Linked DNA regions of Oreochromis niloticus. The protein of the gene in region 3 interacts with the protein of the main gene of each other region in a pairwise test. Links are inferred from orthologs where the notes say so. Each region holds a gene or a part of one and is shown on either strand. Other genes may lie near its edges. The genes, in order: memo1, ckap5 and tacc1.

Region 1 (8,338 bases), on a different chromosome or scaffold from region 3:
TGCCTGGTGCATAGTATAGGAAGTCAAGGAAGAGAACAGAAGTAACAGAGCTCTTGTACCTTATTCACTTTTGTCAGAAACAGTCAGGAAAAAGCTTCAATTTGTCAGACAGTTCCCTTTAAATGCATAGATTGATTCTTTACTTGAATGAATGTCACTCTCAGGTGCATTACCTCTCCATGGCTTTAGCAGTGTAAGGCAAGTGCATTTCAATACTGTGCTCATCTTCGTCTGTCTGCAGACTCATTCTCTCAAACAACCCAGTTTTCCAGAGGTCAGCATAAACTGAAAGAGACAGGTTCAACTTTAATTTGTGAATTTTTCATAGTCACGACTACTGATAAAGTCAGTGAGATTAGAATTCTGACAAGTGCCTAGCTGAGGAAAATCTAAATAATAAAAAAAAGCCCTGACCACAGAGTCAAGGCAATGTCTGGTCGCTGGAGGATCATTAAAAGTGTATCACCTGCCAAACTGGCATAAGGCCTGTATGTTGGAGCTCTGTGCTTGCTTCATTTCACATTTTTAAGAGCAATGACTCCAAAAAATTTGTTCTTCTCTTTGCTTTTGGCACAAAACATGTACTGAAATGTATACTGTAAATGTTATCCAAACTGTCATGGTACTACCTCACATCACTGCACATCCTCAAAATACCTTTCATGAGGATGTGCAAAATGCATATAAATAAATTATAGCACAAGTTAAGATGTAAGACATATTTGAAAACAGTGAATACCCTTTTGGTCGATTCTCAGGTCATAGAGGGGTGTTCTATAGATGTCTGCAGGTGACAGGGCACAGCGAGAGAGGGGCACATGGTGTGAAGGTCCCAGGATGAACACCCTACGACTGAAGGGCAATAGAACTTTATTTCATTAGCTGTTTTTGCAAAAAGCACAGCACCAACACTGCTGTACTCTGCTATCTACACTCACATCTGCTCAGTCTGTGGAAAAAGTGGAATTAAGATAAGCAATCATGCAAAGCATCTTCTTAAATGAGGAAGAGAGCTAGAAAACTGAATCACTTACGTAATAGAGGGATCAACCTGCTTGTAGGCATGTGCTGCACAAGCACCACAGTAAGTATACCCAGCATGGCTACAAACAAAAACAAGCCATATTACAATTAAGAAGGCATTCAACACATTCAGAAGACATTTTCTTTCCGTTTGTCATAGTGTGCTTACGGTGCTATGATGGCTCTAGCGGGTCTGATGGTGGACTGTGCTTGAGACAGCCAGCCTTCTAGTTGTGCATTCAGCTGGGATCCTGAAAAAGTTAAAAAAAAAAAAAAAAAAAATGTATGCGTATATATATTTCACTAGAATAGACTAACACTAGAATAAAGAGGGGTCACAAAATCAAATGATAACTGTAGAATCACTTTGATAAGGCTATAAGCATTTTAGATCCCTACCAATGTCTCACTGTAATAGCAATGCACTGGGCTGAAATCCAGCTGTGACAGCAGTTCATTATTCCTTGTCAGTTATTTTGGAAGGGGAAAGAAATGGATAAGAGCCCATCTTGACAAAGCCTAACATAGTATTGTCAATCTTTTATATGCTGGGCAACTGTTATTGTAAAGCTGGAGCTCATTATAATGTGTCATAATCCAAATTTAACCTTACTAAACGTGGTTAACTACACTGGAATACAATGCCTATATTAGAGTATAAACTACTTGTGTTCATGTTCACCAGTGTCAATAGTTGACAACATTAACAGCACACACAGCTGAATGATTTGTTAGAAAAACAACCAGAATGACGGTAATCAATGTTAGCTCAGCATTTGTGGTTTTGAGTATTTATCTGCTTTGTCTCATGTTCATCATATGTTGTCTCAAAAAGGATTGTAAATGGCAGCTTCTAATGGATTTTCGGGCAGCCTTTTGGAATTTAATAAAAAAAAGAAAGAAACTAGCGTACAGCTTGTGAAATGGGGGAAGGGGTGCAACATGAACCTTCAGCTTTCTGCCCTGCCCTACCCAATCCTTTGTTCTGTGGCAGGGAGCATTTGTACACATAACTTAAGCGGGTCAGGGGCAGACACCAACAAGAACACAATAATGACAATAACCGCATAAGTTAATGTAGGCAATCAGCTTCGGGAAATCTTCAGTGTAGCTGGCTAGCTAGCACGTAGGCCAGGAAGTTCTGCAATATTAGCCAAGTTAGCGTTGGTTGAGTTGATAGCGTGTCAAAAATGCTTTGTTTTGACATTTCCACGCACTATCCGAGGAGGAAGTGCTGAACACGTTCAAACCAATCGTACACCTAATGGGATAATACAGAGACGGCAGTCAATAACAGTTAGTTAGCCGACTTTTAAAAAAAAAAATCGGATGGACTAACGTTACAGCCCTGACACTGGGTATCAATTTCTGCGGTGGCAAGCCACCAGGAGCCCAGTTACAAAGCCAGTAAGTTACGCATAATGAGAAGCCTCAAAAACGAATAGAACACAAAGCATAAAACAAACAAATAAGACTGCCAGCTAGCACACAGTGTGCTAACGCGGATGGTGCTTCGTTGACAGTTACCCGAAGCAGAATACCAGCTCCCGGCGTGACTTGCTTCTCTGCACACCACTCGGTTCGACATCTTGGTTCCCAAGCCGCCTATCTTGGTTTGCTTCACTCCTGTCAGGCGAAAGATTAAAAACAAAACTCCAAAATCCTGGGTTAACTACCCGAGAGAAGAAACCAACGCCTGCTAGCTGACTTGCCTGAAAAGACAAAGGGCAGTTCGACTGGAGAATCAGCAGCTAGCTGGCTAACAAGCTCAGTGTACCGTCAGATGGCCCTTGTGTTGTTACCGGTTAATAAGTTAGCCAGGAGAGTAGCTAGGGTCCGTTTGTCATAAAGTCTGTTAATATTAGCATGTAATGCAGAAAGGCACGAATTACAGAATGTGTGTAATATGCCGATATGAAACACCCAGAACAGTAATAATAAAAGAAGCGATGTCACAGTTGGGATCTGAGGATTACAGACTTGTCTGTCAAGCCAGGCAAGGGGCGGGTCTGAAAAGAAAATGTTATCAAAGAGACGTCAGAGCGGTCCGATTGGCTGCTTGATTGTTCATCTTTACATGATTGGTTAAAAAATCCAGGAGGCGTAGCCGTTAGTAAGATGTTGTTTGATTGTGAAATTGTGCTGTCCGTCAGGTGAGCGGGTACAGCGTGGCAAAGAAGCAGGGACGTCAATAGGGCATCAACAAAAATGTACCTATTCCTTTTCTTAGCATTGAAAGGAGTACTTTTGCTACCAGTGATTGTAGAAAACAGTCATTTCCACAGTCATTGTTTGCTATCATGAGAGAATTGTGACTGTTTACAAACTAATTGCTTTTCTCATGGATTTAAATTCAATTCAACTATTTATACAGCGCCAAATCACAACAATGCCTCAAGGCACTTTATATTGTAAGGTAGACCCTACAATAATACATACAGAGAAAAACCCAACAATCATATGACCCCCTATGAGCAAGCACTTTTATGAGGATGGAAGGAAAAGCTCAGTTTTAACAGGAAGAAACCTACAGCAGAACCAGGCTCAGGGAGGGCCGGCCATCTGGGTTGGAGTGAGAGTTGGGGTGAGAGAAGGAAGACAAGACAAAAGACATGCTGTGGAAGACAGCCAGAGATTAATAACAAGTATGATTCAATGCAATGAGGTCTATTAACACACAGTGAGTGAGAAAGGTAACTGAAGAAGAAATACTCAGTGCATCATGGGAATCACCCAGCAGCCTACACCCATTGCAGCATAACTAAGGGAGAATTCAGGGTCACCTGATGGAGCCCTAACTATATGCTTTAGAGAAAAAAGGAAAGTTTTAAGCTCAATCTTAAAAGTAGAGATAGTGTCTGTCTCCCGAATCCAAACTAGACGCTGGTTCCATAGAAGAGGGGCCTGAAAACTGAAGGCTCTCTCTCCCATTCTACTTTTAAATACTGTAAGAAAACTGGATGACAAAAGACAAAACTTGTGTTCTCTATTTTCAAAAAGACAGTCTAAACCAGAGATGTCAAACTCATATTACATCGTGGGCCTGCAGTCCACTTTAGTCTGTACCAGAGAAACTGCCTTTTTTGTTAATGGAAAGATGTTTTAATAACATATTTAATCCCTGAGCTATCTTAATATAGGAAGAAGTGAAATTTCAACAGTATGTCTCAATTTTTCTGCATGATAAAGAAATGCTGCCATAGTGAATAAAAAAAATACTGTCAGTGCAGCACTTTGGGCTTTTTACTGTGGACCCACTGTAAAAAAAAAAACCCAAAAAAAAAAAAAAAAAAAACCTCTATAGTACATTGTGGAAAAAGCATTATCTTCTGTAACTTAATTGTTTATCTGTTACTCAGTTCCTGTGTGTAGCATGAGTGGCCATGAGGGAGGTCTTTGTCTATTGGAAAAGCTGTAAAACTGATAAAAATACAGCTAAAAGTCCTATGCCTTCTTTCATATTTTAGCAGGAGATCAATATGACAGAGCAAACAGACAATAAGATAAAATTGTTAACAATTGTTTACTTTTGTCGCTCCTGCCCCAGACACATCTGTCCAGTAAGTGGGCTGAACATTCTAACAACACAGGTGTGAAAACCCTGTTGAACTTGAGTTCAGTCAGCTTATTGGCTTATTGGTCAGACACATCTGCTTTATTGGCCAGATGTGTTTGGTGCAGACTGAACATTCTAATGTGCTTTGTAGTGGCGCATTTTTGTTTGCTTGGATTTCCTCTGTGTGAAAAGAGCTTATTTATCAGCTTATTTAGGTATGAAAATGCCCTTTAAAAGGAGAAGAGACAAATGACACTTAATCTTGTCCTTCCAAAACCAAAGCCAGTTTCCAAAATCCACCCTGCAGATGTTTCCAAGGATATCTGGCCCTACTATGCTGTAACAAGTACATTATGTCCTGTGAAGACATTGCAGGACAGTATTTGGAAAAGTGCTTCAAGAAATTGTCGACTTTCCTGCTTTAAGACCTGAGGTTATTCCTTCTAAATGTTTTTAATTCTGTTTACCATAATTATGCTCCTCAGATTTATTTTCTGTTTAGCTTTTGGGTGTTGGATAACAATGAACACTAATGTTTGTCAAAATAGATCTGTTTCACTGTAGGTGGTTTTGTGGGACTGACATAACTTTTCTGCAAACATTTAGATTTGTGGTTGAGTCTTGTTAAAGTGAGACTGTGTTCTCAAACAAAAATCAGCATCACAAATCAGTATGAGCACATTATTACACTAATACGAATGTCTAATGACAGTTATTTATCTTAACATACTTTTAGCTGGTCTTCAGAGTTGTCTCACTGATCTTCAGTGGTTAGTTTCGTGCCAGCACTGGTGGGTCGTTACACCTTTTGTCCATCATGGGATGGGAACAAGTACTTATCAAATAAAGCTGTAGTCATGTTGTTATACCTGAATTCAGTTTTCATCGAACCATATGGGTGCAGCACACAACACGGGTATTGTGATAAGAAATGGGTGGATCTAAAAGAAAATGTGGAATTAAAAAAGACTGAATGGCTAACCCTTCCCCTTTTAAAAATGTAATCTTGAAGCAAATAGCTGCCATGTTACATGCTTTGTTTTTTGTTTTGTTTTAAAGAGAAATAGTAAGTGCACATTATTAAGGTTTTAGATAAAAAGATTTTCAGTGTCCCGGAAATATGCACACATAGCATGCTTTTAGTCTGGAATTCAACCGGAAGTTACTTCTTGTTCTATATAATTTTTCTTTAATAAAAAGGAAATTACGTAATTTTTTTAAAAAATGGCTTTGCTTCTTTTGCGTTACTTATACTATATAAGAGATAAAAGAAAATATGTTTTTGTTTTTACCTATAATTAGTGTATGGGACTAATGGGACTGTAACGGTACATTCATGAGAACGAGCTCTGCGGGCGGGGCGGAGTCTGTCTGGGTCGCTCGGTAAACCGGAAGCTTGTGTTGGAAATGTTTGTGTTGTCACGAAGCGCCAGAATTTTTATTCTGTGAAGTTAAAGCGTTGTGTTTTGTCCCAAAGAAAGAGGACTGCATCACCTTCAAATGCGATTTAAAGCCTAAACCTTTTCGTTTATGACTAGCTTACCGTGTTATGACTGAGAACAGGGGGGAAGTAGCGCGAGAGTAATGTCGACCAAAACAAACGCAAGTAAGCCCAAAGACAGCGCTGAAGTTATAAAAAACATCCACAAGCAGGCGTTTGAGTATATATCCAAGGCACTGAAGATCGACGAGGACGACACAGGTTTGTTTATTGTGTTATTAATTTTTATTGAGTTATTAACTGCTGTTGTACGTGTGCAAGAGAGTAATAAACACCTCATCCTTTCTGTCATAACAGGAGAGAAGAAGGAGGCTGTGCAGTGGTACAAGAAAGGGATTTCTGAGCTTGAAAGGGGTATTGCAATAGAGCTCACTGGGCAAGGTATTACAAATACATCCAGGTATGCTGTGAGCTGTCAATCAGCTGTAACTTCATACTCAGTGTATTTTTAGCAGGAGAGCAGTATGACCGAGCAAAGAGACTTCAGGATAAAATGGTCACCAACCTCACCATGGCAAAAGACAGGCTTACCCTTTTAGGTGAGTTGGCCTTGATTATTTTTATCAAAGTAATGTAAGCTGAGAAGGCATGCTGAAGATCATCAAATGTCTTCCTTCACAGAGACGACACTGGCCTCTAAAAGGAGAAATGACCCCCAAGGGACATCACGTCATGCCCTTCCACAGCCAAAGTCAGTTCCTAAAAGTCAACCCGCAGGTGTTTCCACCACCATCAGACCCTCCACTCCTATAAGACCTTCATCAAGACTAACTGATGCAAAGGTTTGTGGTTTTTTTGGTTATTTAATAGTGCAGGCACATGCCATTTGAAGCTACCTGTCTAATGTGTAATGCTTTCTGGAACAATCTTATTCCTGCTAAGACAACCACTCGGGTGGGAAAAACTCAGAATGGAAGACCGGCAGCTGTGAAACAGCCCCCGAAGAGGGATATGAAAAACTTCAAGAATGTGGACAGCAAGCTGGCCAACTTAATTATGAATGACATTGTAGACAGGTATCAGAAGCATCACAATCAACAAGACATTTTTCCCTGGGTGAAATTTAAACAAAATTATTGCACATTTAAAATATTTCCTCTGTTCACTGCAGTGGAGCGACTGTGTCATTTGATGACATCGCAGGGCAGGATCTGGCAAAGCAAGCACTTCAAGAAATTGTCATCCTTCCTGCCTTAAGACCTGAGGTTATTACTTCTAAACTTCTTCTGTCTGCTTACCATGAATATACTTTCAAAGTTTTTCTTTGTTAAGATGCAAAGGTTTTTTTGTTACATTTTCCTGTTTAGCTCTTTACTGGTCTGAGAGCTCCTGCACGTGGCTTGCTTTTATTTGGCCCACCAGGAAATGGGAAGACCATGCTCGTAAGTTCATTTTACAGCACAACAAATCATATGAGTCACGTTTTAAACTGTTTTGTATTTTGCATATAGCTGTTGATAGCCCTCATTATCCTCAGTTGAATCACAGCCATTTATTTCCTCTTGCAAGGCCAAAGCAGTTGCTGCAGAGTCTAATGCAACATTCTTCAACATCAGTGCTGCTAGTTTGACCTCCAAATACGTAAGAAACACTTTTAACAGTTTTTAATGAGTTCTCTCTGCCTACTAGTTCATTTTTTTCCTTCTAAATGTTTCATGTCGTCACCATCACAGGTGGGAGAAGGCGAGAAGCTTGTACGAGCACTGTTTGCAGTTGCAAGAGAGTTGCAGCCCTCAGTCATCTTCATCGGTGTGTGTTACACTAAAGAATAGATGTGCCTTAAACACCAGTCTATCTCAAAAATTTTCAGCTCATGAATAAATCTCACTGTTTACTGTTTGACACTCAGATGAAGTGGACAGCTTGCTCTGTGAAAGGAGGGAGGGGGAGCACGACGCCTCTCGCCGTTTAAAAACTGAGTTCCTCATTGAGTTTGACGGGGTAAGTTCAGAAATTTGTTAAATAGAGCAGAGCTCAGAAATTCACTCATCAAACATCGTCAGAGGAGCTCAAATCCTAGTTAACTTGGAGAGCCCTGGTGTTTTCTTCTGGGTTTCAGGTGCAGTCAGGAAGGGATGACAGGGTACTTGTAATGGGAGCAACTAACAGGCCCCAGGAGCTCGATGAAGCAATATTAAGGTATGTTATGCCGTTCTACATTAACATTTCCATAAATGTTTAAATCCTGTGTAAAATACAAAAGAAAAGCAGAATGCATCAATTTTCAGATCTCATAAAACCAAATTTTAACATTTGAA
Region 2 (7,970 bases), on a different chromosome or scaffold from region 3:
GTGTGTGGATAGATAGATAGATAGATAGATAGATAAAATGAATAAGTGAGTGATCAGAGCAGTATAAGGTGCAATGTGGTCAGTGGTATTGCGCATTAAGTAAGGAATAGGAATGCTGGTTGCTACTATAATAAATACAGTTATATAAATAGAGAATGTTGGTTGCATTATAGTATAATAAATATGGTTCATAAATACAGTGTAAATGTCCATGGATTTTAACAGCACAGTTAACCTTCAATCAGGGTGAGGGTAGGGCATGTTTGACAGCCTTGATCTTGACATTGAGTCTGTTTGTCTTTGACCTGATCGACCTGTAGCGTTTACAGTAAGGAAGGAGAAAAAAAAGTGAGTGTCCAGGGTGCAAGGGGTCCTTGATGATGATACTGGCTTTCCACTGAAGTCTGCTGGTATAAATGTCTCTGAGGGGGGTTAGCGAAGTGCCAATTGCCTGCTCTGCCGCCCTCACCACCTGCTGCAGTTTTCTCTTGTCCTCCACAGTACAGCAGTTGAACCAGAGTGTGCAGCAATAGGTCAGAAGACTCTCGGTGGTGGAGCGGTAGAAGTAAATTAGAAGTCTGGAGTAATTGCATCTGCTACAGCTTCCTGAGAAAGTACAGCCTTTGTTGTGCTTTTCCTACCTGCTGGGAAATGTTTTTAGACCAGGTAAGGTTTTTACCGAGATGTGGACCCTGAGGAACTTGAAGCTGCATCAATGTAGAGGGCGGAGTGCTCAGATCGCCTTGTTCTCCTGAAGTCAATTACCATCTCCTTAGTCTTGGCTGTGTTCAGATGTAGGTTGTTGTTGTCACACCATCGCTTCAGATGCTGAACCACCTCTCTGTAGGCTGAATCACTCTATGTAATCACCCAATCAGTCCTATGTAGGTGGTGTCATCAGCAAATACACTGTGAGCTGCAAACTTCTCATTTAAATTTTACTTAAAGTAATTAATTAATTAATTTTTGTACTGCTTACAACCACATCTCCGTGATTACAACCTCTTAAATCAGTGAATACAAGCACTCGACTGTTCCCTCTCAAGTCAGATCATTATTCTGCAATTTTGCAACACTTCTTGGGAGAAAAGCATTTCAAAACTTGCACTTGTAACTGAAGGGGGATAAAAAGGGGTGTTGGTGGTGGTGGAGGGAAGGTATGGGGGGGCGGGTAACGGCAGTAGAGGTCAGCCAATCAGAAGGCCTCTGTCCTCTTTTCACCATGTTGGATTCGCAACTACAAAGCACTGAGCCTGGTTTCCTTCAAAACTTTGTTTAGTACATTAGCACTGTGGTTGATTAGGAAATTAACACAGACACAGCAGTCCCCCATTCCTCATTAGGAGCAGCAGCAAAAACCAGAGTGAATGATCATTTTAGCTAACGGCACTAGTTAACTAGCTACCCAGCGTACACTGATCAGTAATACACTGTTATAACAGTTCTAATCCTTTTTAACAGACCTGAATGTTGCAGCTGCATAACACACTGTTGATGACGACTGTGATCTGTTATCTTTGTACCAGAATAAAGAGGGAACCCAGAGTATGAGCAAGTCCAGTGTCTCAGTGCCATCCTTTCTGCAAAGGCTTATGAAGTCACATCCACCACAGATTCTCAGGACCACAACAGCTATACCAGCAGTATCTTCTCACTCAGTTTATCCCACTGTTGGCAGTAAAAGAGGACTTAGTTCATCTCTGAGCCCTCACTCTGAACCACAGCACTTTTCGCAGGGACATCAGTACATCACACTTTAAATCACACTAAACTAGTCTTCCTCAGTACTTTCATGCTGACTTACCCATATTTATTATGCTAAAAGGAAGCAGTACCAAGTTCATACCAACACTTACAAGTTTACAAGTTCATAATAAATCCCTGAACTCAACAGATAAAGCTGCCTCTGCTGTCCTTTTTTTGTTCTTTTGATTGATTGGTCATTTTGTTTTGGTTAGTCTGTCCAGCAGTAAAGGCCGTTATGAATGATTGAGAATGAGTCTTGTAAGGGCGGACTAATCTCTTTCTTGTTTTTTCGTTTATTTGTTTGTGCCACTTCCCTTAAAGAACCCAGGTTGTAGGTCATACATAGCGCTGATTCCCAGCTAGGCTGTTTGCAGTGCGTGCCCACAAGTAAATTGATTGCGATTTCTCTAAAACTGGGTGTGACAGTTTTCAGTGTAGTGCTATTTGCCTGCACCTTTGGTTTGATAGGTCTCATGTGCAGCTGGGATATTACTAGAATTTATTTCTTTGGCATTTCATTCGACACCTTAGTGCTTGGTTATATAAATGTTTAAAGTAGATCATCTTTAGTTATTTCGATTCAGAAACAACACAGAATTATAAGTCAAATGTCTCCTATGTGTGTTGTCCGTTATCCGTGGCTGTACTATCCATGGAAAAAGACAAACTCTCTATACTTAAATGTTTCATAAACATTCTTTAAGATACTAAAATTCAACTCAAATTAGAGAGGCTGGGATTTGGTCACTTCGTACAGCCAACAACAATATTAGAGCACTTTTCAGCCCAAATTGATTTTGGGGCAGTCAGTTTTGTCTTATCAAGCCACTCATACCTGGAATACAATACCCTCAGAAATAAAGAATATATAACATTCTTTATTTCTTTTTCTAAATTTGTGAAATAGTGATTATTGGATAATCAAACATGTTGTCATGACATAATGCCCTTGAAAGTCCGATTCTAATGTTTTGGGGGATTTTTTGTAAGTGATCATAGTGTTTGATCTTTAATAATGGTATAAGGACATGTGTTTATGTCACAAGTGTTTCTGTATTTTACTTATGTTCACACGCTTCAAAATGTTTGGTTTGTTGATTTATTTAATATGCCATTAACCTGCCAGGGTTTATGAAAATGAGTCTGTGGGTAAATCTGGCATATTTACATGATGAATTTAAGTGCTCACGTTAATTAATAAGTGTTATCCCTTTTAAATAAACACAAACATTTACAAATTGTATTGATGATCACAGCCATCACTAAAAAATTAAACTGTGCATGGCCCTTGGTGTGCTATGTCCAGCTGATATTGAAATGTGTGTACTCATGTAATTAAAACATATGAACAAATGAAAAGAAATTATCTCTACTCTTATTGTTGTCAACAACAGCAACAACCCACAATGAACGGGTCTTGACAAGGTAGGGATCCCCGACACAGTTAGGTTCCCCTGTGTCGGGAGCATGCGCTGGCCTGTCCAAATCACGGACAAACAGTATCCGTCATTCTTGATTTTTAGTTTGCAAACATTTCTTATAATGACTTGTTACTACTGAAATTTTGGAGGTTTTAGCTTTTTATACAATCAAATTACAGGAGGATACATATTACCAGGCATAATGTCGTCGGTTTGTTGAAATAATCCCGTCCGATAATATGTGAGAACAACAAATGTATCATTTCTGTTGTAACCCACAAACTGAACGGTAATTTAACGACACCCATCTTTTACTTTCTCACTAAACTAAAACGTCACGACTTCCACGTCTGTTTAGTTTGAATGGAGGCGGAGTCAACTGGATCCGGTTTCCCTGCCCAGCGCGTCCTCCAGATGCAGGGGAAACTAATTCCTTCAGATATACCTACCTTTACCTACCTTGACACGACACAATCATTTTATGGTGGCCATCAAATTCTGCACTGAGCTTTGGAGAGAGTTTTATATATCCTTTATTTACCCGGATTAAAAGTGTCGTTGACATTAAAAATGTGTCTTTCGAGAGGGCCAAGAGGGCAGCAGAAATTGTAACAAACATAACATAACAGTTCTATAAACTTACTTAAAGTGACCAAAACGCACTGCATTGATGACAATATGGGTACAAATACGCAGAGTCATAAAGATACTTCAACAACAGGCTATTTCTTTCTTCTATATATAACCCAATCATAAATCATGTTCACTACTGTCTATGTACTAATATGAGTAAAAATATTCGACCGTAAAAGACACATAAAAACATCGGAAATCGGTTTTTGGTATATCTCCAAAAGTTGAATCTGTTCATCTGGACGTAGCGTTTTGTGGGAGAAACGTTTCTCCCACAAAACGCTACGTCCAGATGAACAGATTCAACTTTTGGAGATTTACTTTCCTGGATGATTGAGAATGCATCAAGAGGTTTTTGGTATAACATCGCTCATCCCAAACTGCACATAACTAAAGTTTAAAGGGCGTGCACGAAACAAACAAGTAGTGTTTACATAGACAATAGTAGTTTTGAGATAGACTTAATTTCAGAGTAGCCAATGAAATCTCTTCTGAGAAAGCAATGCACGCGTTGTTCCAATCAGCTAAGGAAATTCACACATTGAAGGCGGAGCATATTTCAAACGCAACCAATCTCTCTCCACATCTGTCTCCGTCTAGTGAAAAACAAGGAAGCCCATTAGATGAATAAGTAGTCACGTAAGTAAAATGTCACTGTATGAATGTAGCATTTTGTTTGTGTGCTGCTTCTTCTCTGTCCATGACAGGTTGCTTATGCAGTCGGACTAAATATTAAAAGTGATTCAGTACTGGAGTGACGTCGTTGGGGTGGTGTCCCGCTCTCCGCCCCGCCTCTGTCTGTCCGGCTCTGGAGAAATTTGAAAAAGCTGAAAGAAGTTGGACGTATTTATCGAAATCGGAAGTGGGCGTTCATTTGCGTTTAAAATAAGAGTTCAACACACGCATATTTCACAGACAGAAAAACAAATATTTTCACATCCCAGCCCAGAAATACTTTTTCGAAGTTTTTCTTTTAACGAATACGCAATTTATGTAAATTATATTTAAAATTTGTATTAGATAGGAAACGGCCCAACTGTCTGTTTTATTTTGTACCGGAACAGTGTTGAATCTCCTTCGAGGCAGAGAAGCACTTGTATAAAACTCGACTGGACCCGCAACAGTGATCACTATCATCCTCATCGAATTGGAGAAGCAGCATCGTAATTTTTAACAGCCGCAAACAGGTATTATGTTAAAGATTATTAATATTATTATTATTTTAAGCAACTACAAATCATGTTTGAATCGGAGCTAGTTGTGATGTAATGTGTGTAGCTGCGAACTGCGCTGTTAGGCCTGGTTATGTTGGCGCGGATGGAAGGTTAGCTTGTAGCCTTGTTTCTAATCAGCTAACAGCTATTATCAACCACCAGTAAATTAACGGCGAGGTTTGACTTTGAAAATAACTTATGCATAATACAATTTTGCACGACATGTTTAGCAATGTTTATTTGTCATTAGCGATAGCCGTGTGTGTTGATGCGGGTTGGACCAGAATGAGCGGTTAACGGGGTAACGTAGCAACTGTCACTGTTGTTGCTAAGTTAGCTAGTTAATGGCCCTCAGTAACTAACGTTAGTAACTAACGATTGCTAGTTATGTTATGCTGGCCACTCCCATACAAACCGGGAAAGCAAACAATCAGTGAAATGGGTAATTGACGGCACGGTTGATAACCAAAGTGATTGTAACCAGACCGAAAAGCAGCTGGTTGGGTGTATTTAAGGGGGAATCTAGTTGATAAAGGTTAGCTGTGCTCATTTGGTTGTATTTTAGTTTAAGTTCTGTAATACTGAGAGCTAGAGGTGTAGTGCTGCTTTTTTTGAGTAGGAGAGCTCACTGATCACATGTGTTGAGTTGTAATTTGTTTCTAAGGCTATTTCACTAAAGTCACAAATTTACATTACTCAGATATACCTGAGAAAAGTAATCAAATGTGAGACTGAATTTAAGAACATCATCAGTTTTTACATGCTGTTTACGGCTGTCTCCTTCGTGGATGTCTTCTCTTTTTCCATTCTTTCCTGTTGGGTAGTTGTCAACTCTTTCTCTAACTCATCTCTCTCCCTCACCTATTCTCTGTGTTTTGGATCTTCTACCTTTCACAACATTAAGCTCCTTTTCCATTAGTACCAACTTGGATCGACTTGCCACGGTTTTTAGGGCTTTCCATTAGGTCATAGTACCTGCTCGGCTGGGGTTCCAAGTGATTTGAGCAGGTACTAAAATGTGACGTCAGACTGCATGCCACTGATTGTCTGGTCAGTGGCATCACTCGAGTCATGAGACAGTCTCATTCACGAAAATCAAAACTGCCGTTTTTGAAACCTGGCAACAAGGGAAATGGCTACAAAAAACAATGCCATGGTCCCAGAGTCCGATGAAAAGCTACAGACTGAGCAGCAGGTATGTTCTTGCCTTGAACTCCATCTTTGCTGTAGTGTTCCTGTCGCATACCAATTACATCACTGGACACTGGCTATGACGACAACCACGCACATTAGATGGTACTTGATTGCAAACCAGTTGATCTGAGTCGAGTTGATCCAAGTTGGTGCTAAAGGTAAAGGAGCTTTAAAGTCAGATTTATAGATTTATCCAGCAGCTTAATTGGATTAATTGATTCATCCAGAGGAGACCTGCTTTATATCAAGCTCTTCCACTGTTTAAACCTAGAATGTTTTACACCTGACTTGTACGATGTGCATAACACAAAACGTTATTTACTGTCAGATCCTGACACATCCCTGTATTGAATTTAGAAGGCAACTGTGTCTCACATGCTCAAGTGTGCCATTGCCCTTGTTTTTTCTTGTATGCCAGTGTCTGGTATATTAAAGTCAGCATGAATATAGCAACTCCATTAAAGTGGTTTGTGGTTTTCATCAGCCAGATTGTGCTACAGTAAAGCAGTCTTTCAGCATTAAAAAGCTACTGTTGGGATTTAAGAAAGTGGTGCTAAGTGGTTTGGACTGAAAAATGTGGAAACGGGAGATATTTTATTTGGTTGGCCTTGTTGCATATGTATTTATATGAATTTCCCTTTAACAGGACACATTTTTTTTTTTTTTTCAGAGAACAGTTACTAAATAGATTATACAAAGATGATTAATTAGGATTTTTGCATTCAGTTTCATTGTAAATGTAACAGTGATATTTTGGTGGTGGAATTTGTGATGGTTGGAATGAGAGGAGGAAATGTTGTCAGAGTGCCCAAGTGTCACCAGTGGATGCCTCAAAGCTAGCAAAGGTTTTAGCCATATACTCACATTGTTAAAACTTTGGCTATATACTGTACAGAATATGATTTTGTGTCTCGGCAAAGGCTGTGAATTTAGAGAGGGAGCAGTCAGAACTGAAGCAACTGTACTACCAGAAGGAAATGGCTACAGCATTAGAGACAATGAGGGCAGCTACAATGACCTCTGAATCCCACAGCCAAATAGGAATTGTGAAGAGGCTGCTAGGAAAGCCACAATCACCAAATATCTGCAGAGAGTAAAGCAAGTCCTAAGGAGTCAGCTGAATGGGAAGAACAAGATCTAGGCAATCAACACCTACGCTCTGCCAGTGATTAGACACCCCACTCGGATAATAAGCTGGTCAAAGGAGGAGATGGACGCCACTGACATCAAGACAATGAAGCTCCTTACAATGCATGGAGAGTTTCACCTCAAATCCAGTAGCCCGAAGGCCTTTTCACATAGGCTCTGAAACCCATTAATTTCTATTGCATGTGCCGCATGCACGATAACGGTTTCCTGCTGAATTAAGCAAAGTACAGCGTAATCGTGTCAGCAAGGAGTTCTTGCACAGCATCTGTGCTGTGACATACCTTTGCATCACCAATAGAAATGAAGCCAACAGCCACGCTAAGTTCAACCACTTGATGAGCAAAAACATTAGTGCATATCAGAGTTCAGTGAACTTTTTGACAAAACTTTATGTGTGTATGTAGAGACCTCCAGAGCATTTGAATAAGCCATTCCTTTCAACAGTTCTGGAGACCTCGGGAGAAAAGCAGTGTTGTGGAAATGACTGTGTCGAGTATGGCCTGGAAGTCATGATGTTAAACTGGGACATGCTCCTTAGGGTTGTTGAGAATGACCGAGCTAAGATCCTGTGGGACTTCCAAATACAGACAAACTGGTGTTGGCTAACCAACCG
Region 3 (7,620 bases):
CTGAGGCTGGTGACTCGGATGAATTTATCCTCAGCAGCAGACATGATTCTTGGGCTTCCTTTCCTGGGGCGGTCTTCATGTGAGCCATTTTCATTGGAGCACTTGATGGTTTTTGCAACTGCACTTGGGGACATATTCAAATTTTTAGCAATTTTCCGGACTGACTGACATTCAGCTCTTAAAGTAATGATGGACTGTCAATGCCTGGTTAATGCCATAATATGAATTCTAACCGTTGTCAAATAGGGCTGTTAGCTGTGTACCAACCTGACTTCTGCACAACACAATTGATGGTCCCAACCCCATTAAGAAGGCAAGAAATTCCACAGATGAACCCTGAAAATCATTTCAGGCATTTCAGGTTTCATTGCGAGAAGACCAAGGATTTGCAGCGCGGTCAACAAAGTAAAGGATGGCTACTTTCAGGAATCGAAAATATAAACATATTTAGAGTTATTTATCATTTTCTTTCTCTGCTACATATTTCCATATATCTTGCTTCATATCTTTGATGTCTTCAGCATGTATCTACAATTTAGAAAGTAGTAAAAATAAAGTAAAACCATTAAATGTGAAGGTGTGGCCTAACCTTTGACTGGTAGTGTAAGAGTTAGAAATTTTCACAAAAACTAAGAAATCAGGAAGGGGGCAAATATTTTTTCAAGACAGAGTACCAGTTTAACAATCACTTCCATGAACTTAAGCACGTCATGGACAAAGTCACATCGAAAGGAACCAGTTGAGGTGGCTTGGACATCTGACAAGGATGCCTCCTGGGTGAGGTGTTCCGGGTATGTCCCACTGGGAGGAGGCCCCGGGGAAGACCCAGGACACACTGCAGAGATTATATCTCTCGGCTGGCCTGGGAACGTCTTGGTGTTCCCCCAGACAAGCTGGAGGAGGTGGCTGGGGAGAGGGAGGTCTGGGCTTCTCTGCTTAGGCTGCTGCCCCTGTGAACTGGCCCCCTGGATAAGCGGAAGAAGATGGATGGATGGATGGGAAAAGTCAGTTTTCTGAGTAATACACAAAAAATTACCTTCTTAGCAATACTGAGCCTGTTGACTACAAACCGAGACTTTACTCTATGTGTGCTTGTCATATAGCAGTTACGGTAAAAAAAGATAATGCATGGTTTTTATTAAGTTTTTAACCTGATGAAATTTTGTGAAGTTTTTCTGGTTGTTATTATGCTTTTTGACCACTAGATGCCTGTGCAGTCCACTGATTCTGCAGCTTGCCAGCTCAGAGGAGCAGATTACTGAGGCGTGGTGTGACATTTGCAGTAGTTTTGCTTGCACTCATCTCTGGAAGAATGTGATCACATCTTGTAGTTTTTCCTTCAGCTAGCTGTTGAAACTGCCATGTCATATTACTGCAAGTGTGTCACTTAGAGCTTCACTCATTTGCTGTTAGAGGCCTGACGTATTAGTTTTCCTCACAAGGCAGAAGTAAGAAACTCGTTGTGCTGGCATGGGTTATTTATTTGCAGGTTCTTCCTCTCCGTTTCTGTTCCTCAAGCACGCACACACATAGCTACTGCAGCCTTGTGGCAGCGTGCTCATTATTTTCCTTCCTCTTTGTTTTCCTTCTCCTCGGCTCTTCATCCTCTGCCCTTTATGTCCCATTCTTTTTACATTAATTAATTTCCAGGAACATTCAGTTAGTTTTCTGGGATTTGCTGAGACCAAGCCATCTCTTTGTGTGTCTGCACTTATTTTAGGCTCCACAGGAATGGCTGTTATATAATCACATGGTTCCTCTATTGTCTCCCACTCTATTTATGGTGATAGAACATTTAAAGTGATGACTGTTGACACAGCCTGAATACAGTTTGCACATTTGATCTCCGCATTGTTTCCAATATCGGTTACAGTCATATTGACACAGAGACTAAACATAAGTGTGCAATTAGTGCATTTGTAGTAGGAAAGTCAGAATTTCAGCTGATGTGTCAGCTTAGAATAAACATCACAGTAGCGGGAGAGGCCAGATTGTTATTCTGTCTGGTACTAGTGACTTTCTGTTTTCTAGAAAATGCCTGTTGGCTACCTCGTGCTGGGCTTGAAATCTGAGCTCTTTTGAGTTGTGTTTGGATTCTGGTGGTGCTTCAGACTCCTTGGCTGAAGCTTTCTGGTCTGTGGCTGTGGCAGCCGTTAAGTATGGGGTGGTCTTTTATCTGGAGACACACACGCACACACACACACACACACACGTGCGTGCACACACACACACACACACACACACACACACAGCTGTCTCATGCTGATGTTTATTGATGCCGTTTTTAGATAAGTAAAGCACTGGTCCACAAACCTCGATAGTTTGTAAAAAGCAAACAAAAGATGTCAGTACTCAGTTCAATGTTATTTTCTGGCTTTTTTTGAAAAGATCTCAACTTATAGTTCTCATTTTATATGTATATTTTTTAGTAGGGGAAGTAATAGGCACCTTTACTTATATAACATGCTTATCCCTCTCTCACATGCATCTTCAGAGACCCCTCACCATCGATAGAAGGAGCTATTTATAAGGTTTAGAAGGTGTAAATATGCAGACTTCCTCTTCTGCACTGAAACACACCTTTGTTTCTATCACGCAAACGTGACGTAAATATCGATCAGTGATCAGGATTACCACTAGTATAACTTGTGGGAAGATGCTAATCTATTCTCCTAGTAAAACCAAAGTAGGGCTTTGCTGCTACTCTGTGAATTAATAAAAAAAAGTAAAAATGTTGTCTTTCACAAACAAACATTTCACAAGCAAAAAAATAAAATAAACAGATACCAACTCCAAGATAAAAGCACAAGTAGTTCTTCATGCTTGTGAGATGATGTCTTTAGTATGCAGGAACAGTTTTTGTCCTCACTTCAGGCACAATCTTTACCAGAATCAGACTGTAAATAAGCGGGTAGAAAACTCCACCCTTTCTGGTCAAATGTGGAAACTTTGAGCCTGACTGAAGCACGTGTGTGTATTTGGTCCTCGATGGGAATTTGGGAGGAGTTTAACCGCTCAGCAGACAAACCAATCCTTGAATTTTCTGGCACCTTAATACAACAAGACTATAGAAATAGGATGTATTATCGTGCTGTCTGTCTGGGTGAACACAAGAAGGTTTTGCTGTTGCAGCAGGTGGTTGAAGGAGTGCAGAAAATCTACAGCAAAAACTACTGTATGGCTCTTATTAGCCAGTTATCCATGGATTTGCCATTGCCCCCTGTACTGTATGTGTATTGTGAGTGTTTTTCTTCTTTACTGACATCATTTGCTTGAGATTGTCTCGTCATGTGATATATTAATTTACAGACATTGTCAGTAGCTTAACATCTGCAAATTAAGCAACTATGGAGCTCTGTGAGCTTTGTTTTCATAAATTCGCACAACTGAGTGGATATTTCTAGACTTCTCTTATATCTAGAACCAACTAGATCAACTTAAACTACTCTCCAGATGATCTGTTGCTTTGTTTGTCTTGTGTAAAAGTAAATATAGGACTGATATAGTTGGCAGGATGACAGATTTTCTCAACTTTTAAGAAAAACAGAATAAATCAGTTCCGCTTTTTTGCGTTTAATAAAAAGAAGCACATTTGAAGTCATTGTCCTAGAAGCAAGCCACTTTTGGGTTCTCTCTGTAATATATATATATATATATATATATATATATATATATATAACAGATTTATTAATTTTTTTCTTGGTTTTCATGGAAATGTAGTGAATGACTTTTTTTGCTGTATTTAGAGGGGCATTTTATTGCTCTGTTGAGAGATTTAAGACCCAATTTTCTCTTTCTAAGTTGCTACAGTGGGGTTTTTTTTACCACCCGTCACTGACTGCATTGAAGACTTTGGTTTCCTGCCAGTTCAGTGGTCTGAACTGCTACCTCAGACAAATTGAATCCAGCCAGGTATATCTCCTGGGGCTTTCCAACAGAAATGCAGAACTGGTTCCCCTGGTCATGCATGCCTGGCTGCCACTGGATGGGAGAAACAGTTAACTGTTAAACAGTCTACAAAGGAGTGGGGGTGGAGGGGCTTTAAGATCCAGCCCCACATTCCTAACCTCTCCCTGGACTATAAAATGTGGAGCCCCAAACAGCTCTGCTCCTCCTCTACCTCCACTCCCTAGGCCTTCTCCTCCTCCTCCTCCCTCGGTGTGTGTTTTGTGACTCCCTCCTTCTGCTTCAGAGTGGAAGAGCGGCCTGACAGGGACGTACCATTCTTCAACCGCGGGGGAAGTCATGTAGAAACCTAAAGAGAAGCTGCATTCATTCTTCGAGCTGACAGCTCACTGCCTTCCCCCACTGCATTTTCTGTCAGTGAGCTGTTCCGAGGTGGAGGGGAGAGTTTGTAGGGGGTTGAGAGGAGAAGAGAGTGAGCACAGCATTTGATAAACCAGCTGATCAGAGCTGAGGTATTCGGCCACAGAGACAGAGGGGGAGAGAGAGACAGAGAAGAGAGCGTGACTGGAAATAAGAATAAGAAGGACAGAGAACCCAGCTCAAGTCTTTGTAATTTCGAGATTAGTGATATACAAGTAGGGTAGTGTAAAAATGTGTAGTTCCCTTCATGGGAAACTGAGAACTGTGAGAAGTGGGAACCTCTATAGAAAGATGTGAGAGCTGTTGGTTGGGTGGAAACCTGAGGAAGAATCAGAAAAGGATCAGTCAAGTGCTGGAAACTAATCCACAGCTATCGGTGAGAGAGGGTCAGAGGACCCTGCTGGAATAAAGAGTGATGTCTTGGCTCTCACCCGTGTCATGGGCTAAATGGACATGGACGGCAGTGCGCGGGGGAGAGGGAGAGGAGGATGAAGACGGGCAGGAGGCCAGCGAGGAGAGGGAGCAACGTGGAGAGAGAGTAGAGGAAGACGAGGAGGAGAGATCTCAAGGCTGCAGGCAAGTGTTGCGCTGGAGCCCCCAAGACTACTGACAGGGTGGCTCACACAGTTTTATTTACCTGCTCGTCGGCCTGTCAGGTTGAGGAATCCCTGCTGTTTTAAGGGTTTGATGAAATAGGCCAAGGGAAGGGAGGAGAAAAAATATTGGTGTCATTTTTTATATTTCGCGTGCTGCGTTGTCCTGCAGGGCGGACACATTTGCGGTGTGGCTGTGCTTTCGATTGTCACCACGTTTGAGTGTTTTTCTTAGACTCACTGGCACGTTGTCAGATCTGTACAAGAACGCACACACACTGCACAGGCAGGTAGCTCAACGAGGTAATCATCGCTCAGATCACACAAACACGACAGGCTCCCAAGTCATCAGGTTCTCAAGTACCTGCTTTTCATGTCTGCCTTGACACTATGGATACTTGCTATTGCTCCAAGTAAATTCACAACTGTTTCCACTCTTGCACACTCAACTAGACACAATATCCTGTCATTGGGTATCAAGTAATCAAATGACAAAATCCATGTTTACTATCCTGTGCAATTAGATTCAACCAGAGCAACAGCAATTCTTACTGCTAGATCTAATCGAATGATGCAATGTTATAAAATCACACATCATTTTATTCTGTTTTAATGTTCATATTCTGAGTTAATACATCATTTACAGCTTGTATGTTACAGTTTTATACTTCATACCCCATGATTCTAACAATGTAACAGGAAATAGTGGGCTGGCTTACTTGCACTTCCTCTTCCTCTATGTATCTTTCACTTTATCTGTATTTCACTCCTTCACCAGTTCAGACAATACTGAGTCTTTCCAAGGCATAATACAACAGCAGAGGATAATAGCTGGGACAGTGGCACATTTAAGTTGCAATAAAATATGATTTTTATATTTGATTTTTGTTACTCAGTATCCTCTAGATGTCAATGACATCATGCGTCACTTGTGAAATTGCTCTTCCTTTCAGTATAAGTTTAAATATGCATTGTCACTTGCAGATATCTTTATATAAGAAAAACATGTACATTTTCAACAATTCATCTCAGCTTTTCTACATGATAAAGAAATGCTGCTGTAGTAAATGAAAGACGTCTGTCAGCACAGTTCTTTTGGCTTAAATTATAAGAAATGAATGCTTAAAATTTTAGAAAGAAATTCTGGTTGCTTGTTGCCTTGACTGTCCTGTAATTGTGAAAAGGAACAAAGAAAATGTCAAAAAACATGAATTTTTCTGTCATTGAATTGTTTATCTTTTACTTAATTACTTTGGTGTGTTATGATTTTCCATGGGGGAGTTTTTTTATAAGTAAAATTAATTTTAACAATTTGTTTGCCCTCCTTTACATTTCCCAAAGACCGACAGTGGGCAGTTTTTGTTGGGCCAGTTCTGGTCCCAGGCCTAATGTTTAACACCCCTGCTCTAAATCAATATGGAAATCATTTCCGGGTATTCTGTAGTACTATTAACCCCCAGGTGGTGATGCTACCACCAGGGGGTTGCATGAAGTTGTATTTTCACCTCTTCATGCTTCTAAAAAGTATTTATTTACGTAGCACAAGAGGTGAATTCCACACTTGGTCTGACCTGGGACCATCTGTACATTATGATACCATGAATCAATATAGTGCATCTGGGGGGTTTTTTGTATGTTTTTTGTTTTTATTTATCTTTCTGATTTTTGGCAGCAGGAGTTTTTCTATGTCGTGCTCTCTGTTTTTGTAATATGATCACTTCTGTGCTCCTTTCTAATGTTTTGAATGTTTTAATCTTTCTCTCTCTCATTTCTACCACAGCTCTGACTCAGAGGGTCATTTTGACACTCCTGAGGCAGCGACTCCTGTCCGCGCCCCTCCGACCATCCCAGGAGAGCTGGAGAACAACAACACTGATGCAGACAAAACAGGTGAGGCCAACAGCAGACAGACAGAAATGCAATGATGAGACGCTGTCCACTGTGAAATCTCAATAGCAGTAGCTCTACAATTTTCAACATATGAGAAGAAATGCGTGTTCGAGTGCACAACACAAAGCAGTAGCCTCAAGGTTGCCATGGAAACGAGTAGCTGCTTCACTAAATGCTCAGGTGTCACATTTGTGTTTGTCTTCATAGTCAACAAAAGAGGGAAATGTGTTTAGAGTGTGTCAACAAAATAATGTTTTTTAATGCTAAAATGAACGTTTGTGTGATCGAGTACGTCCGAACTTCTCATCATTCGCAGGAAAAATCTATTACCTACTAAGTATTCAGACTTCCGATGTGGGGTACAGACAAGCAGTCAAATGCAGAATGCACTTCATTAAACATAATTAAGGTTAATACCTGAAGGTGGCCAAACATGCTCTGCATGCTTGGTATGTAAGCTGGTTTGCAGATGAGGAAGGATTTCGGGTGTGATGAAGCCTTGACTTTGTCCTTTGAATCACGAAAAGGAGGAGCCTGTAGCAGAGTGTGGGAAAGGCCTTTGCTCTGGAATTCAACAGGTTCAACAAAAGCTTCATCTAAAGCTCCGCCCTGCTTTGTAGTAGTCACTGACAGAGGTCAGTATGAAGGGAGCAACTGCACAAAGCAAGCCATGGGCCCAAAGCTATCATGTAGCTTTCTTTTTTTTAAAGTTGATTTTTAGTAGTCTTCTTATTTGTGCGGCTGTTGTGGTTTTGGTAGGATTATCCTGTAAAACAGCACCAACAACATTTTATAAAAGAGTAAGTTGCAA

What was found.
Region 1: the proteins of tacc1 (region 3) and memo1 interact in binary tests that used the Homo sapiens proteins (3 or more experiments, as listed by UniProt). The two-hybrid records come from large-scale screens. The link is inferred for Oreochromis niloticus from reciprocal best matches to the Homo sapiens genes TACC1 and MEMO1.
Region 2: the proteins of tacc1 (region 3) and ckap5 interact in binary tests that used the Homo sapiens proteins (3 or more experiments, as listed by UniProt). The link is inferred for Oreochromis niloticus from reciprocal best matches to the Homo sapiens genes TACC1 and CKAP5.

Annotation. Positions count from the first base shown.
Region 1 is NC_031978.2:23,301,810-23,310,147, forward strand, and holds the start of memo1 (protein MEMO1), read right to left. Parts: upstream 3,049-8,338; 5' UTR 2,612-3,048; coding exon 2,551-2,611; intron 1,275-2,550; coding exon 1,193-1,274; intron 1,104-1,192; coding exon 1,035-1,103; intron 853-1,034; coding exon 740-852; intron 286-739; coding exon 174-285; intron 1-173. Other genes in the region: spast (spastin), read left to right, coding at 6,164-6,281, 6,378-6,461, 6,533-6,619, 6,702-6,862, 6,963-7,096, 7,192-7,285, 7,388-7,462, 7,590-7,661 and 3 more. UniProt on the Homo sapiens protein: May control cell migration by relaying extracellular chemotactic signals to the microtubule cytoskeleton. Mediator of ERBB2 signaling.
Region 2 is NC_031972.2:38,741,259-38,749,228, reverse strand, and holds the start of ckap5 (cytoskeleton-associated protein 5), read left to right. Parts: upstream 1-4,659; 5' UTR 4,660-4,987; intron 4,988-7,970. UniProt on the Homo sapiens protein: Binds to the plus end of microtubules and regulates microtubule dynamics and microtubule organization. Acts as a processive microtubule polymerase. Promotes cytoplasmic microtubule nucleation and elongation. Plays a major role in organizing spindle poles.
Region 3 is NC_031970.2:27,576,045-27,583,664, forward strand, and holds the start of tacc1 (transforming acidic coiled-coil-containing protein 1), read left to right. Parts: upstream 1-4,179; 5' UTR 4,180-4,741; coding exon 4,742-4,902; intron 4,903-6,699; coding exon 6,700-6,809; intron 6,810-7,620. UniProt on the Homo sapiens protein: Involved in transcription regulation induced by nuclear receptors, including in T3 thyroid hormone and all-trans retinoic acid pathways. Might promote the nuclear localization of the receptors.